Rhinolophus ferrumequinum: one gene and its partner. The protein of the gene in region 1 purifies or fractionates together with the protein of each later gene. This does not show direct contact. Links are inferred from orthologs where the notes say so. Each region holds a gene or a part of one and is shown in the gene's direction. Other genes may lie near its edges.

What was found. Proteins that work in one complex are often made in the same cells at the same time.
Region 2: the proteins of KPNA3 (region 1) and KIF22 purify together in Homo sapiens (affinity purification with mass spectrometry; 3 studies listed by BioGRID and IntAct, counting the BioPlex papers as one, with this or other methods). This does not show direct contact. The link is inferred for Rhinolophus ferrumequinum from reciprocal best matches to the Homo sapiens genes KPNA3 and KIF22.

The regions. Positions count from the first base shown.
Region 1 is NC_046287.1:87,819,865-87,827,005, forward strand, and holds the start of KPNA3 (importin subunit alpha-4), read left to right. Parts: upstream 1-4,056; 5' UTR 4,057-4,071; coding exon 4,072-4,127; exon of another isoform or gene 4,128-4,141; intron 4,142-7,141. UniProt on the Homo sapiens protein: Functions in nuclear protein import as an adapter protein for nuclear receptor KPNB1. Binds specifically and directly to substrates containing either a simple or bipartite NLS motif.
Region 2 is NW_022680357.1:825,947-833,815, forward strand, and holds the start of KIF22 (kinesin-like protein KIF22), read left to right. Parts: upstream 1-4,839; 5' UTR 4,840-4,894; coding exon 4,895-4,952; intron 4,953-7,869. UniProt on the Homo sapiens protein: Kinesin family member that is involved in spindle formation and the movements of chromosomes during mitosis and meiosis. Binds to microtubules and to DNA. Plays a role in congression of laterally attached chromosomes in NDC80-depleted cells.

The DNA.
Region 1 (7,141 bases):
CTGGGCTTGCTATGGTAGGAAGTCAGCCGTAGGGTCTGAGTGTTCAGATTCTGTAGGTCCCTCCACTGTACCGTGCTGGGAAAGCTTCACGGAGAAGGTGACCTCATGGCCTGAGTATTTAAAGAGGGACCGATTTTGACAGGAAGATAGGGCCAGGGCTTTCTAGGTAAATCAAACGGGAAAGCTATGAAGGCTGGAAAGGTTAGGACATATTTGGGAAAGGTGATAGACCACGTAAGATAAAGCACAAGCTATGTGTGGGGGAATCAGAAATAAGAAGAGTGTATTGCACTGTGGCTGGGTCACACATAATCTTAACTATCAGACCGAGGATTTAGAAATGATTTGACAGACAATGGTGGAGGGGAAGAGATATATTGAATATGAGGAGAAGAGATAAAATCAGGAAGATCTGGAGAGGTGAATCAGATTTTTGTGGAGAGGATAGAGGAAGCAAGGGAATCGGTTAGGAGGCATTAACTAGACTTGTGAGGGGCATGGGAAGAAAGCTGGATTCTGGGAGCGTTGAATGGCGAATTAATATGGAGACTAGGTGAGGGAGTTGAGAGAGAGGGCGGCAGTAAAGATGGCTCCAAGCTTGAGTGGAGTCCCTGGAAGAATGGTTAGGCTATTAACTGAGTTGGTGAATTTGCAGAAGGAGCTGACTGGGGAGGAAAATCATGAGCTCCTTTTGGCATCTGTTGATTTTGTTGCCTTCTCTGCATACTGCCACTTGCCTGTCCGCTGGGAAGGTGGGTTTAGTGAGTCAGAGGAAGAAGAGTTTGACCACTCAGAGGGCCCTTCCTTTCTGTTTCTGCTCTGCTCAGCACTCCCCTGTCCCTTAATAGAAGTGCCTAATGAATACAATGCTTAGCATGTGATGGACACTCAAAATATGTTTGGGAGAGGAGGTCCAAGATGGTGGATTAGAAAAATTATATATATATATATATATATATATATATATATATATATATATATATATATATGTATATATATGGAAAACTCCATTTAGAACAGTTGTCAGAAGTTTTAGGGCAAAGGTGAAGACTAGAGTGAGGGAAAAGGGATGGTTGCTAACAATGAGAAGCCCAAACCTGAGTCACTGGAGGTGTCATTTCTCAGACATTAAGGCCTCCAAAGCCTGGTGGGAGCTACAAGTGGTAGAAATTTGGTGGAGTTAAGAATATGGGGAGACTCTGAGGCCAAAGTAGCAGATGTGTGTATGTTGAAGTCACTAGGGAAAATGGCAAAGAGTAAAAGTTATTGCATTAGACCCAGGCAAGAGGGGCCCCTGATCTTGACCCTACCCTTTAGAGGACTTCACTCTGGCTCTCTCCTGATGTACCCCACCCCGTGGGGAGTTCATGGGGCCACCAGGTCACATTCACTAGAACCTGTGCCTCAAGGCCCAGCTCTGGGTACCGGGGCCCTGGGATTCCTGCTCAAATGGTCAAGCCTGCTTTCAGGATCTTCCCAGACCGCTTTCTCGAGTCCATCTTCCTGGGGGCTCATGAGGCTACCGCTTTGCACACTCCAGGCCTGAGCAATGGCCAAGGGGCATCTCTTGAGGCAGAGAGGGGGATGGAAATAGAGCTTTGGTAGCGAGAGGCAGGACATGAACCTTGTGGGTAAGGGTATACATATATGTTCTTAAGGTCTATTCCAGTGTGGGATGGAGCCAGGAGACGGAAGGGGAACAAAAAAGTGGGCTGGGAGGTGGCTTCCAGGCCTCTTTGTACCACCACACCCTGAAGCAGAAGTCCAAGAAGTCAGGAAATTTAAATTCAAACCCAGACATCCAGGTTGTAAAGAACATTCATTTGTCAATGTCAAAAAAAAAATTAGACTTTGTAAGCTTGACCTGTAACTTCTAAATACTTAAATATGTGATACAAGTATATAGACATCCATTTGCAGTCTTATCCTCCTATGTTAGGAGTCACAGGAATCATCATGTTACAAAGATCTCCTTGCTATGAGTCTTGAGCTTCCTTCCTGTTTCTTGACACTCACCACACTTTTGGGGTGAGAACTCGTTTTATTGCCTGTCTACTCTGATAGACACAAAGCTATGCAGAGGCAGGAACCAGGCTGTCTTGTTTACAAATATATCCTGGTGTGAGGGCAATGACTGACATCTGGTAAGTGCTCACTAAATATGTCTAAAACTCTAAAATGATGAAACACTTACACACTGGATAACAGCAAATAGGATGAAGAGAAGTGGTAGAGGGGGTAAAATAACCTGAAAAAAGAATGCCTTGATAAGTTATAATAGAGATTGAACAACAGTCTGGAAGTTTTTCTCTCCCGTTTGGGAAGAGCTTCAAACACACAACTTTAATTGCCTTAAGAACTATAGTTGAAGTAATGCTAATCCATTTATTCTAAGCTTTAGGTGTGTGTGTGTGTATTCTCCCCTTTAAACGAGCGGTTGGACTGGGATCAGATATTTCATAGTGAGGGCCTGGAGTTCTCAAGTGACTTATTCAGTGAAATGCAGAAAAGAAATGTGAATCGACATTTAAAAATGAAAAAAAATAACTCAGCTTTGGTTTTCCTTGAAAAATTGGAGCTTGGCAAGACTGGCCCACAGTCCGACATGGCAACAGTGGTCTGAAGCCTTTAAATGGGACTGTGTCTATCAACAGGCCACGCTCCACCACTCATAAAACAAATGTCCCAAAGTTCAGCCACCAAATGACTCTGAATTCATGACCCCTGGACCTCTGGCTCTTTAAGGCCCCTTTGCTTTGAAAGAATGTCTTCTTTAACCTCTTTATGGTTATGTTTCTACCAATCTTTGAATAACCCCAGTGTCAATTGAATTATATTATAACCATCGAAATACCTGCTTCTCTCTGCTAGAGATTCTGAAACTGAATTCTTTCACATATAACCAAAGAAGCTCACCTGCTCCAGAAAGCAACTCTCTATTAGTAGTATGGATCCAAATTTCCCTTGACCGGCCCTCCTATGACACTAAACAGAGAAGCCAGATGGGAGTCTGCCGACCAGGGCTTGACTGCTTCCTGAAAGCTAAGACTACGTGTGGTGGCAGAACAAGAGGTGTTGGGGGCACTGAAATGCAGGAGCTGCCAGAGTGAAAGTTGGAGAACCGGGCTTGAAGGATGATGAAGAAACCGATAGGCGCTAGAACACTAATTTGTTCAAAGTATTTATTGAGTATGCACGAGCCAAGCACTGTTTCGACGCGAGGGATTCAGCAATAAACCAGCCAATGCCCCTGCTTCTCACTGAACTCAATTCCCGTGCGGATGCCAGGTAACACACACATACAAAACATATATACATACATGTGTACATGTCAGGTGGAAATAAAAGCTATTTATAAAACCAAAGCAGGGCAAAAGACCAGCCATTGAGGGTGGATGCTATTTCAGGAGACTCCAGAGAAGCCCCGCCCCCTCTCTCCCAATAGGGCACAAGATGCCCAATCTCCGGGGAAGCTCCTCCCACTTCCCCCGCCCAAAGGCGGTCTTTGGGGCGGAGCTTTGCGGCCCGGGCTCTCCGGGCGCGCCGCGCGGAAAGCCGCGCGCTTAGGATTCCCGGCCTTCAGGTTCTGTCAAGGCCAGGAGCATTAGACCGCCGGAGCCTGGCATGTTGGGAACTGTAGTTTGCGTCCACAGCTCGGGGTTTGGGGCGGGGCAGTAAAAGCCGCCAAGTCTGGCTCCATTGCTGGCACAAGACTTGTAGCACTGAGGGGTTGTGGGGAGGCCTTGCTGTGGGGGGCGGGGGGTCATCCCGAAAACCCCTGGCACTTACAGCAGGGCGAGCGTCCAGGCCCGGGGCGACCCTGGGCACGTGACCCCAGCCAACCCGGGAGCGCGCGGTTCTTCAGCGCGGTTCCCGCCCCGCCCGGCAGTCGGCCAGCGCCTCCCCCGGCGCTGCTGCCACCTCGCGCTCGGAGGCGTCACGGAACGTGCTCTCCTCTCCCCCTCCCCCTCCCTTCCCCCTCCCGCGCTCCCCCTCCTCCCCCTCCCGCACCGAGACTCGCCGCCGCCGCCGCAGCCGCAGGAGTAGCCGCCGCTGGAGCCGCGCGCAACCATGGCCGAGAACCCCGGCTTGGAGAACCACCGCATCAAGAGCTTTAAGAACAAGGGGCCGCGATGTGGAAGTGAGTGTGCTTCCGCGGTCTGGGCCCGCCCGGCTCGCCCGTCTGGCCGCGCCGGCCCCGCGGTGGCGGGAAGGGGCGGGGGGCCGGCGCCGGGCTGGCTCTCGCCGGCTCGCGGTGGGTCGGAGTTGGCCGCCGCCTCCCATCAGCGCGGCCCAGGGCTGGGCGGAGCGGGCGACGGATACGCGGGCCGGCTGTAGCCACCCTCCGAAGCTGCCGGCGCGGGGGACCGGGAAATGCCGGGGTTTTCGGCCCCGTCACGCGGGCGCGGCCTGCTGTCTGTGAGGAAGGGATGTGGAGCTGAGGCGGGGTCCGCGGCTAGGGCCTCGCGGGCCGGGGATGCTGCCGCCCAGGTCTGTCGATCGCGCCGCCGAAGGGGCGGCCGCAGCTAGCACCGGTTGCCGGTGAAACCTCCGCCGGCGCAGCCTCCTTGGTGCCTCCCGCGCTGCCGCACATGGAGCCTGTCTCTGCCGGTCTCCGCGCCTACTTTCTGCCAGCCGGGCCCAGGCGGGCGGTGGCGGCCCGCAGAGGGGGGTGGGGACCAGCCGGGTGACTGACTTGTTTGAGGGTGGTGGATGGGGGAGGGTAGGATGCGCCAGGACCGTTTTCTTATATTCCAGTGCTGTCCTTTGGACCAGTCGTGCTGAGCTGTTCCAGCCCACACTCCTGTTACTGCGGGCATTTGGAAGCAAGCTGAAGGTGGACAATAGTTTACCATCTATTGTGTTGAGGCTTTGGAAGCGACGTTGTTCCGACCTCCGCTCACCGGACCTGTTTTCTTAGCATTTCTTACTTGTAGTGGGGGTGTGCACTGGATAATTTCCTTGACATGTTTTACTGAAATAAATTGGATACATAGGTTCATACGGCCGTGTAAATATCTCTTGCTCCAAGCTGGTAGAATTTCCATGTGGTTGCAAAACTGTAAACATTAATGTGGTCACTCAGTTCGTTGCTACACAGCATGTTGCCATTGTCTCATTAAGGTGACATTAGCAGGTACTATTTGCAAACTCGGCTTATTGAGGCAGCGCTAGAGGTCTCTCTGCAGCCACTAAAAGCAACGTAGTATAATGCACAAACTTCACTGGGACTCTGACCTCTGAATTTGTTAAGGGAAAAGTGGTTTTAAGTCCACAAGCTCCTTTTCGAATACCAGGTGACATGGTTTGCAGTTTTGTAGTTCTTGTTAAAGGGACAGTGTGAATAAGAAGTGTACATTTTATCCTCTTAAAGAGAAGTGTTGGGGAAAATTTACCATCCAGCGTTCTGTTTTGTAGAAAAACAAAAAAAAACTCAGGCCATTTTTCCAGAGCTACACAATTAATACTAAATGGAAAAACCTAAGGAAATACTGTGGAATTCCCATTTGAATGAGACAACTAGAGGTCATCTGTCTTCTGGTCATGGTTAAGTGTTTGTGTGTGTGTGTGTGAAAAATACTTCTAAGCAAAAGTGAAATTTAGGAATAGCAACAAGAAATTTTGGAACTGCCTCCAATTATTAGTCCACGTGATGATAGCAGTTAATTTTGAACTTTTGCTATCAGTAATTGTTCTTGAAGCTTTCCCCTATTATAAAGCAGAACTTATGTAGTCTGACAAATACCCATATTGTTTGTACAAAAGAACTAATAACATTCTTCCCTCTCTTGGATATTAGTACAGGTTTTTGTCTTATTATTTGCCTCTATTGTGTTCTGGGATCTCAGTGATACCTAGTAAGGACTCCTGCACGTAATAGGTGTATAATAAATATTTGCTGATGACCAGAATGTAACCAATGACTTCTACAGGCATGATTGCTAAACCTTTTAGCCTGAAAATGTTGGTCACAACAACATTACATTTCCCAGCATATATTGGAGTAACTAAGGCATGAAATAGCAGACATTCAAATGGTAGTTCTATGTGATAGACACTACTGAGAGCTTCATGATACCTCATTTAATCCTAATAACAATTTTATGAGCTAGGTATAGCATTATACCCACTTTATAGGAGGAAAGTACTTTAGATGGGCAAACTCAAGCATGCCTGTGTAGCCTGCACAAGGTCCCAGAGTGGGTATGAACATTCATTCACTAATTGTCTATTGGGTATCTAATACAGTCAGGTCTTGGGGATACAAAAGGGAATAAATTTCAGTCTGTACCTCAAGGAGTTTATAGTTCAGTAAAAGTGATAGAAAAGTAAACTGATAATTACAATACAGTACATCACTAAGTATATTCTGAGAATGCGTAAGAAGATCCTAACTTGGTGTTGAGCAGTCAAGGGAGAAGTTCTGGTTGATTCCTAGTGGATGAATGGGAGTGAGTAGATCCTGAAGGATGAAAGACAGTTGGCCAGAGAAAGGGAGAGGGCGAGGAAGAGGCATTCCAGACTTGAGGGAGCAGTAATTGAGACCAGGAGAACGCAGTAGGACTGCTGATAGAGAAGGGAGTGCTAGAGATGTGACTGAAGGGTGAACTGCGGTTGAAGCTGATCAAGTTCCTTTACTGTGGGTTTAGGTATAGCTAAGACTAGATACCACACCTAATTTAGTCTTACCCATTAGAAACTAGACTACATTAGAAACTTACACTACAATGTAGCTCTGTGACTAAGTAGTTCTGATTATTAGGCTGTTTCCAAACAGTGAGGTATACTTTGCTGAGGTACCGTTTTTACCTTTCACATATAGGATAGACAAAGGTTGCTATGTGCTGCTTACATATAATAAATAACATTTTCTAAAAAAAAAAATATATAGAGTTAAGTCGGAGAATTGTGAGTGGGGAGAGGGTTGAGAAAGTAATTTCATATTCAGTCGGGAATGGCTTCATAGAAGAGAGGTTGGTGAATTTTACAGGAAATATGTACCAAACTTGAACGGCACATGAGAGATTAGTGAATAAAGATCCAGGTGAAAAAGAAGAGAGATTAGGTTAAGGAGTGAAGAGATGAGACTTCAGATGGCCCGTGGTAGTCTGAGAATATGACTGTAGCAAAGAGTTGCTTG
Region 2 (7,869 bases), on another chromosome or scaffold:
CACAGCTTCGACGTTGCCAACACCATCCTCAAAAAAGGGCATTCCAAGGTGGGGAAGATCGTCCATAAGGGGATGGTGAGACTTCATGGGAGGCATTCAAGTGACTGGGGAATATAAAGCTGCTTTGGAAAGAATTTTCAGGACTCTAGGTCTCAGTCCTGAGACATTTCTTCCCAATTAGACAAAGATAACAGTTATGTCCATGTTGTACATATGTACAAAGGTTATAAAGAAATAGTAACATTATAGAAACAAACTCACGCCTAGCCTGTTTTTATAACCATTCCTTTCTTTTAAACATTCAATTCCGTGGAATGGAATACTATGTCACTAATTATTTTTTTATTGATATACGTCACATAACATAAAATTCGCCCTGTGTGCCATTTCAGTGGTTTTGAGTATATTCACAGGTTGTACAACCATCACCGCTCTCTAATTCCAGAATACTTTCATCACCTCCAAAAGGAACCCCGTGCCCATCAAGCAGGCACTAGCCATTCTCTCTCCCAGCCCCTGGTAACCACACATCTACTTTCTGTCTCTATGGATTCGCCTATGCCAGACATTTCATACAGATCGAATCATGCAACGTGGCCTTTTGTGTCTGGTTTCTTCCACTGAACATGTTTTCAAGGTTCATCCAGGTTGTAACATGTGTCAGCACTTCAATCCTTTTTATACTTGAATCTGACAGACATCGTAGGGCAAGAGTGAGTTTCTGGGGTTTGGGGACCTTCTAGCGTCATCATCCAGTTTAGCCCATTCTATGTTCAATCTGTTGTGATATTACGTATTATATAGACTGTGGAACACACTGGACACTTACGAGAGTAAGAATGAAAAGGCAAATGACATCTTAATGCTATTACAAAAGAGTTTTAACTTTGCAGAGGCCCGGGATCCTGCAGGTCACATTCTGAGAATCCTTGAGCTAGGGATTACAGTATTTTGTTTTCTTTTAAACGTTACTATACTATTCTTTTTTGTCTTCTTGACACCCTCTGTAGAGCAAGTCTCATCACTCTAGTGAGCACATCCAACCTGCATGCACAGTAGCCACCAAAGCTTACTTCAGTCCTCACTGCCCTCAGGAAAGGGACACTGCTGGGCCCCTTTGGGTAGTGCCCCCGTCCCCACCTCCACCCCCATCCCGTGGCTCTTACATAATTGCATGTGAAGGAAAACGGGTGTCCATATGGGCAGGCTGGCTCTGGCCTCCTGGCCACCTGTGGTGCTCCATTATCTGAGGTCTCCGTCTCCACCTGGCCCTCCAGGTGGGGTCCTCTCTTTTCCAGCCTCGCTCTCGTCTTCAGCACTGCCACTGTGCCTTTCACCCTAGATGACCCTCATTTATTCTCTCCAGGCTTGAAGGACAGAATCACCTGCCTCACTCACCAGTCTCTTGGCAATTTTCAGGGCGTAAACTCTATATTCTACTTTCCTCTGCTCTCCTTCGTTTCTTCAGGGTTTAGTTTGGAAGTTTAAAAAAATATATATATTTCTTTCTCTGAACACCAGGTGTTTAACAACCCTAATTTCCACCAGGCAGATGCAGACCTTGATTCCCCCCTTCCCTTAAAATTCTGTTTACTATCTTGTCACCGTCACCCACTCCCACACCCCTCTCCCCACAAAAAATAAACTCCAGGAAAACGGGGATCATGTCTGTCTTCTTGTTCACCATGGTACTCTACCACCTCCTAGGACAGTGGCTGGCACACTACAAGCAAACGAGACATTGGGTACTGAATTATTTTATTTTCGTTGGATGTCAGGTGTTAACAACCCTAATTTCCACGAGGCAGATGAAGATCCTTAAACCAAGTCTAGGAAGGGGATTCAACCATTATTCTCTTTTTCACAGCTGAGGAAATGGAGGCACAGGGAGGCTCTCTACCCTGGGTTACCTGGCATCAAAGCCCTGCACCTAAGCTACTTATTCATCCTTAGAAGTCCTGACTCCCTGACCTGTGCTCTTTCCAGGATTTCTGGCAGGTATCTCATCAAATACCTGGGGACTGGCAACAACTCTGAAAACCTGAATAGCCCTTGCTGAAGTGCAGGGGAAAACCAAACTGCCAGTCCTGTAATTCGGCGGTTCTCAAAGTGTGATCCAGGAAATTCTGGACGTCCCTGAGACATTTTCGGGGGGTCTGCAAGGTCAAAACTATTTTCATAATAAAAGAAGATGTCATTTGATTTTTTTCACTTGCATCCTTTTTTTTTTCTTTGAGTGTATGGTGGAGTTTTCAAGAGGCTATAGGATGTGTAGTATCACAACAGACCAAATGCAGAAGCAGGTATGAGAATCCAGCTATTTTCTCTTAAGCCAGACATTGTTAGATTTGTAAAAATGTGAAACAATGACACTCTTCTATTTTTTTTGTTTGTTTGTTCTTGAGGGTTTTTTATCCTTTGGAAACTTTTTAAAATAAAAATATTACTTACATGTGATGTGTTTGTTACTGCAATTTTGGGGCAGATTTTTAAATGGAGATAAATTCACATAACATAAAATTTACCATTTTTAAATGTACACTTCAGTGTTTTTTAGTATATTCATTATGTTATGCAACTATCACTACTGTCTAATTACATACAAAACATTTCCATCACCCCCAAAAGGAACTCCATGTCTATTAGCAAAATCCAAATTCACCAGCCCCTCACCATCTTCTGGCAATTGCTAATCTACTGCTTCTATGAATTTGTTACCGTAGTTTTTCAGTGTATTAATATTTTAAATTTATTTTCATTTCAAATACAGTAAATATGGATAGACAAAACCCATACAAGCAAAATAACTTTGGGGCTTCAATTTTTAAGAATGGGATTCCAAAGCCAAAAAAATGGAGAACAACTATAATTTACTTTTTGTTTTGTTTTATAATAGGTTGGACATAACGTTTAAACCAGGGCCCTACGAGGAGCTCAAAGATGAGATGATCACCCCTGGTTAAGTTTCCAGAAAGTATAGGGAACTACAGGGTGTGATCAAACAATACGGTGAATGTTCATATAAAAAAAATTCATTACAGGAGCACCGGATGATTCAGTTGGTTAGAGCACCAGCTCTGAACAACACGGTTACCGGTTTGATTCCCACATGGGCCAGTGAGTTGTGCCCTCCACAACTAGATTGAAGGACAACTACTTGGAGCTGATGGGCCCTGGAGAAACACACTGTGCCCCAATATTCCCCAATAAAATTTATTTTAAAAATTTATTACAGTAGGAGATACGTTGCCATTAATCCCCCTCAGAAAACTCCCCCTCGCTTTGCACACACTTATCCCATCATTCTTGCCACTTTCTGAAGCAGTTCTGGAAGTCCTCTTTCGTGAGTGTCTTTAGTTGTATTGTCGTGGCTGCCTGGATATCCTGAATCATTTTGACTTCAGGGAAGAGCCAGAAGTCACACGGTGCCAGATCCGGTGAAAGAGGACACACCGTAATGTTTTTATTGAACAGAAATTGCCATACCAGGAGCAACGTGTGACACAGAACATTGTCATGATGGAGGATGATTTATGGCACGCTTTAAAACACAGCTACCTTCTCTCAACTGTAGCTCACTTCCAACCGACTGCACCAAACAAGTTGAAACTTGTCACACACTGTTACTAAGGTTCCGATGTGCAGCTTCCCATATTGAAGATCCCTGCCTTTCTGTTGGATGGCACTCGGCAGCAGCATTCACTGTATTTTGTGATCACAACAGTAAGGCTTCATGTCACACATTGCTTCTGGTATGGCAATTTCTGTCAAATAAAAACATTACAGTGTGTCCTCATCCACCTTATTCACCAGCTCTGGCACCGTGTGACTTCTGGCTCTTTCTCAAAGTCAAAATGACCATGAAAGGAAAATGTTTTGAATTGATTCAGGACATCGAGGCAGCCACATGACAGCACAACTAAAGATGCCCTTGAAGGAGTACTTCCAGAACAGCTTCAGAAAGTGGCCAAACGATGGGATAAATGTGTTCGAAGTAAGGGGGAGTATTTTGAGGGGGGTTAATGGCAAGGTGTCTTTTACTGTAATAACTTTTTTAAATTTAACCATTACCATGTATTTTGATCACACCTCATACTTAACAGCCAATTGGGACCCAGACCAAACATGCCTTTTTCGCTCACTCTCTACATGTTGAATGCCGAATTACAAAATGCCGGACATCCGAGCTTGTCTCCTTGGCTCAGACACGCGACATAAGGGGGCACATATGTCACCTGGCTTCTGCATCTCACTTAGTGGCTTTGGGCTCAGCAAGAGGTTAGTACAACGTGACTGTTCACAATGCCGCAGGGCGCACCACGCCTACAGAAGTCACCAGACGTTAAAGCACAAGCAAAACGACGTCCGAGGCGATAAACGGTAGAAAGTAAAGATCGCCCCCAGACGTCCCTTATTCTTATAATCACCTTTTCTGCCACGAAAATAGGGAAAAGTGTATTCAGTTCAGGGAAGTTTTTGGATAAATCGATTAAGTGCCTTCGATCACCCTCTGCTTGATTCGAACGAAAATTCGTAGTTAGTGGAGGGGGAAAAAAATGAGGCGAAAATTCTGCACTTAACGCAAAACTACCCCTCGAAATTGGGCGGCGCTCAGCAGCTCCCCCTACGGCCACTGTCGCCAAGGCCTCGGGCTCCTAAGTTTGCGCCGGAGCGCGGGCCCTGACGTCACGACGGGATGGCCAACGTGCGCGCATGCGTCCTCCGCCGGGGAACCCTTTTTCGTGCAGGACTCGGAGGCGAGCCCTAGACGGCTGATAGGTGCGCGCCGCAGGCGGGACTTCCGCGGCTCTTGGCTGTGATTGGTGGAGCCTGGGAGAGTGGGCGGGGCACCGGGAAATTCGAATGGGAGAGGCGGGTCAAAGGAGGGAGTGGAATGGACGCCCGGAGCCCGTCGCAACTGAGGCGACGCGAGATGGCGGCGGTTACCTCAGGTGAGCAAGCCCGGCCCGGGCGGGGTGCCGAGGTCTGGAACCTGGTGGGGTGATGCGTCGGGGTCTAGTTCAGGCTCCGCGGGTTTTTCCGGACAGGCCCGAGGGGCGTGGGGCGCGGGGAAAGGCGGGAGTGTGGGAGTCGCCAGCTGGTCGGCCTGCCTCGCTCTGCCTTTGCTTCCCGCTCTCCGTCGGGGGCAAACCCGGTTCCGGCAATAAAGCCGCGTTGGAGCCCAGCGCACGTTTCCTCTGGGGGCTTCGGTGTCTTTGTCTGTGAAATGGGCCGGGGACCCCTCCTCAGGCGGTGACGGGAGTGAGCGAGCGAAACGCGCTTCACGCTCTCATCGTCGGGACAGATGAGAAGGGAGCTGGATGCGCGTTTGGGGGAGTCCTGTGGAGGACGTGTTGTGGGGGTCCGGGGAGACCCCTGAGGGATGGAGGCGGACAGGCCGAGGTTCAGACGGGCTGCCGCTGAGGCTGAGGGGACAGCAGAAGAGGGAAGTAAGGGGCTGTTTCCTTTCATTCTGGCCGTGGGGGTCAATGCTATTTTAGGGGTGGAGAGGCCGTGGAGGACGGTCGGCATCTTGTACGTGAGCGTTTGTGTACGTCGGTCTCTGCTCTCTTCCTGGAGACTGAATTCTGGTCGGTAGTTACGGGGGGCACCGCAGCCATGATTATGAGTCCCCTCCCGTTCGTCAGGAATGTGGGGGAAACAGGGCGGTTGAGAGGAATGGCCAACACAGGTGGAGCCCCTGCCGGGCACCCGTGTAAGCCCTGGACGGTGATGAAGCGTTTCATGTCCACCTGGTGCTATGAGGGGTTCACTCCTGTGGTCCTTGTACAGCTGAGGAGACTGAGGCAGAGATGGAGTCAGTGTTGGGGTGTGAATTCACCCGCAGGCAGCCTGACTCGAGAGCCTCTGTTCGTAACCTTTCTGTCCAGGCACACGATCGTGACCTTCCTGCTGTCTGCGCTGCCCCTGCCGAGACCCGCTGTGTCGGGTGCGGAGCGGGGATGGTAAAAAGGCTTGAAGGAATGTGGGCCCTTCCCTGTATGCGTTTAGTTCGCTTCAGTAGATCGTCATAGAAACATGCGCGATGGGACAGTTAAGTTCGAGAACTTGTCCTAGAAACAGTGCTCCATGCCTCATGGCTGAATATCACTACGGTCACCCTGGAAGGACTCCCCTTGGGAAGCTATGCACCGATGCCAGCGCCTAGTCCACCCTTCAAAGCGATTTTGGAACTCTTTTTCTGGAATGGCCATCAGAGCTGTTGTTATATTAGCTTTGATGCCCTGAATGTCATCAAACTATCTTCCTTTCAATATTTCCTTTATCTTCAGGTAAAGAAAGAAGTCATTGGGGGCCAGATCAGGTGAGTAGGGAGGGTGTTCCAACACAGTTATTTGTTTCCTGGCTAAAAACTCCCTCACAGACAGTGCCGTGTGAGCTGGTGCATTGTTGTGATTCAAGAGCCATGAATTGTTGGTGAAAAGTTCAGGTTGTCGAATTTTTTCACGCAGCCTTTTCAGCACTTCCTAATAGAAAACATGGTTAACTGTTCGTCCAGTTGGTACGAATTCATAATCCCTCTGATATCAAAAAATATTAGCAACATCGTTGCAACAAGTTCGCAAACTTAATTGTTCGACCTTTCTATAACAGGAAAAGCAAGGAGAGATGTATAAACTGCCATAGAGAGTACAGCATCTGGAGTAAACCCTTGGGTATTCTGGGAGGATTTTCTTAAGGAAGTGATGTTTGAGGTGCGTTTCAAAGGTTGGACAGGAGTTTGTCAGACCTTGGCAGGACAAAAAGACTACCAATTGATTTCTTGTTTATGATGTAAAGAAAGGCCAAAGAGGCTCTCTTTGGCTCAATTTCCTCATCATATAAGAGAGAAAAATTAAGTTGAATGAAACATGGGAGTTGTGGGGAGGGAAAAATTAGAAGAAATAAGTGCTGGCTTCGCTCAACCTCAAGGTTGCTTTTCTGATGAAAGGGAGAAACTCATGTTCTGTAAGCACTTGTTCACATGCTCTCCCTCCCTCCTCTCCTGGACTGGGAGCTTTGGGGCAAGAATGGCAGTGTGCCACTTTGATGATGAAAACAAAAAATGAACAAGTACATGTTTTATGTTACTTTATTCACCAAGTCTTAATTTGTTCAGCACGTACTTCCTGTGAGCCTACCCGGTGCCAGGCACTGGGGATATAAAGGTGAGCAGAGTAAGATCTGTTTTCACTGAGTTGCCAGGTAGATGGAGAAGGCAGACAAATATGCAGTTACAGGGCAGTGTGATCCGTTCTTGGATGGAGGAGCTAAAGAGAGTGACGGGTGCACCTAACAGCTTTCGTGGGCCAGTCATTTTATCCGGGAAGGTGTTTTTTAGAGGAAGTAAGGTATGTGTGCCTCAGTCACTTGGGGAGCAGGTGGGGTAAAGAAGATATTCCAGGGAGATAGAATAGCAGGTGCAAAGGCCCAAAGGTGTGAGAGAACTTGGTGTGTCGTGGGAACTGAAGGAAGGCGCTTACAGTGTAAGGAAGTGGAGAGAGAATGATTGGAGGGGAGTGGGACCAGTTGGGAGACTGTGGAGATGGTGATGAGTGTGGTAAAGATTGCGCAGTGGGGATAGAAGTGGATGCATTTAAAAAGGTAGAATTGACAGACGTTAATGAATAACTGATGTGGGAGATGAGAGAGAAGGTGGAGTTAAAGATTCCCATTTTTGGGGTTGGCCCCTTTCATTTATGTTAGAGAGCATAGGAGAATGAGGTTGCAGAGAGATGGGGAAGGGGTCAGAATAGGGTGGGTGGAGTTTGAAGTACCCGCCAGCAGCTGGGAATGTGGATCCAAAGGGGGGAGCTCTGGTGTGGAGGTGTCAATTAGGAGTCCTCTGCTTTTAGGTGGTAATTAAAG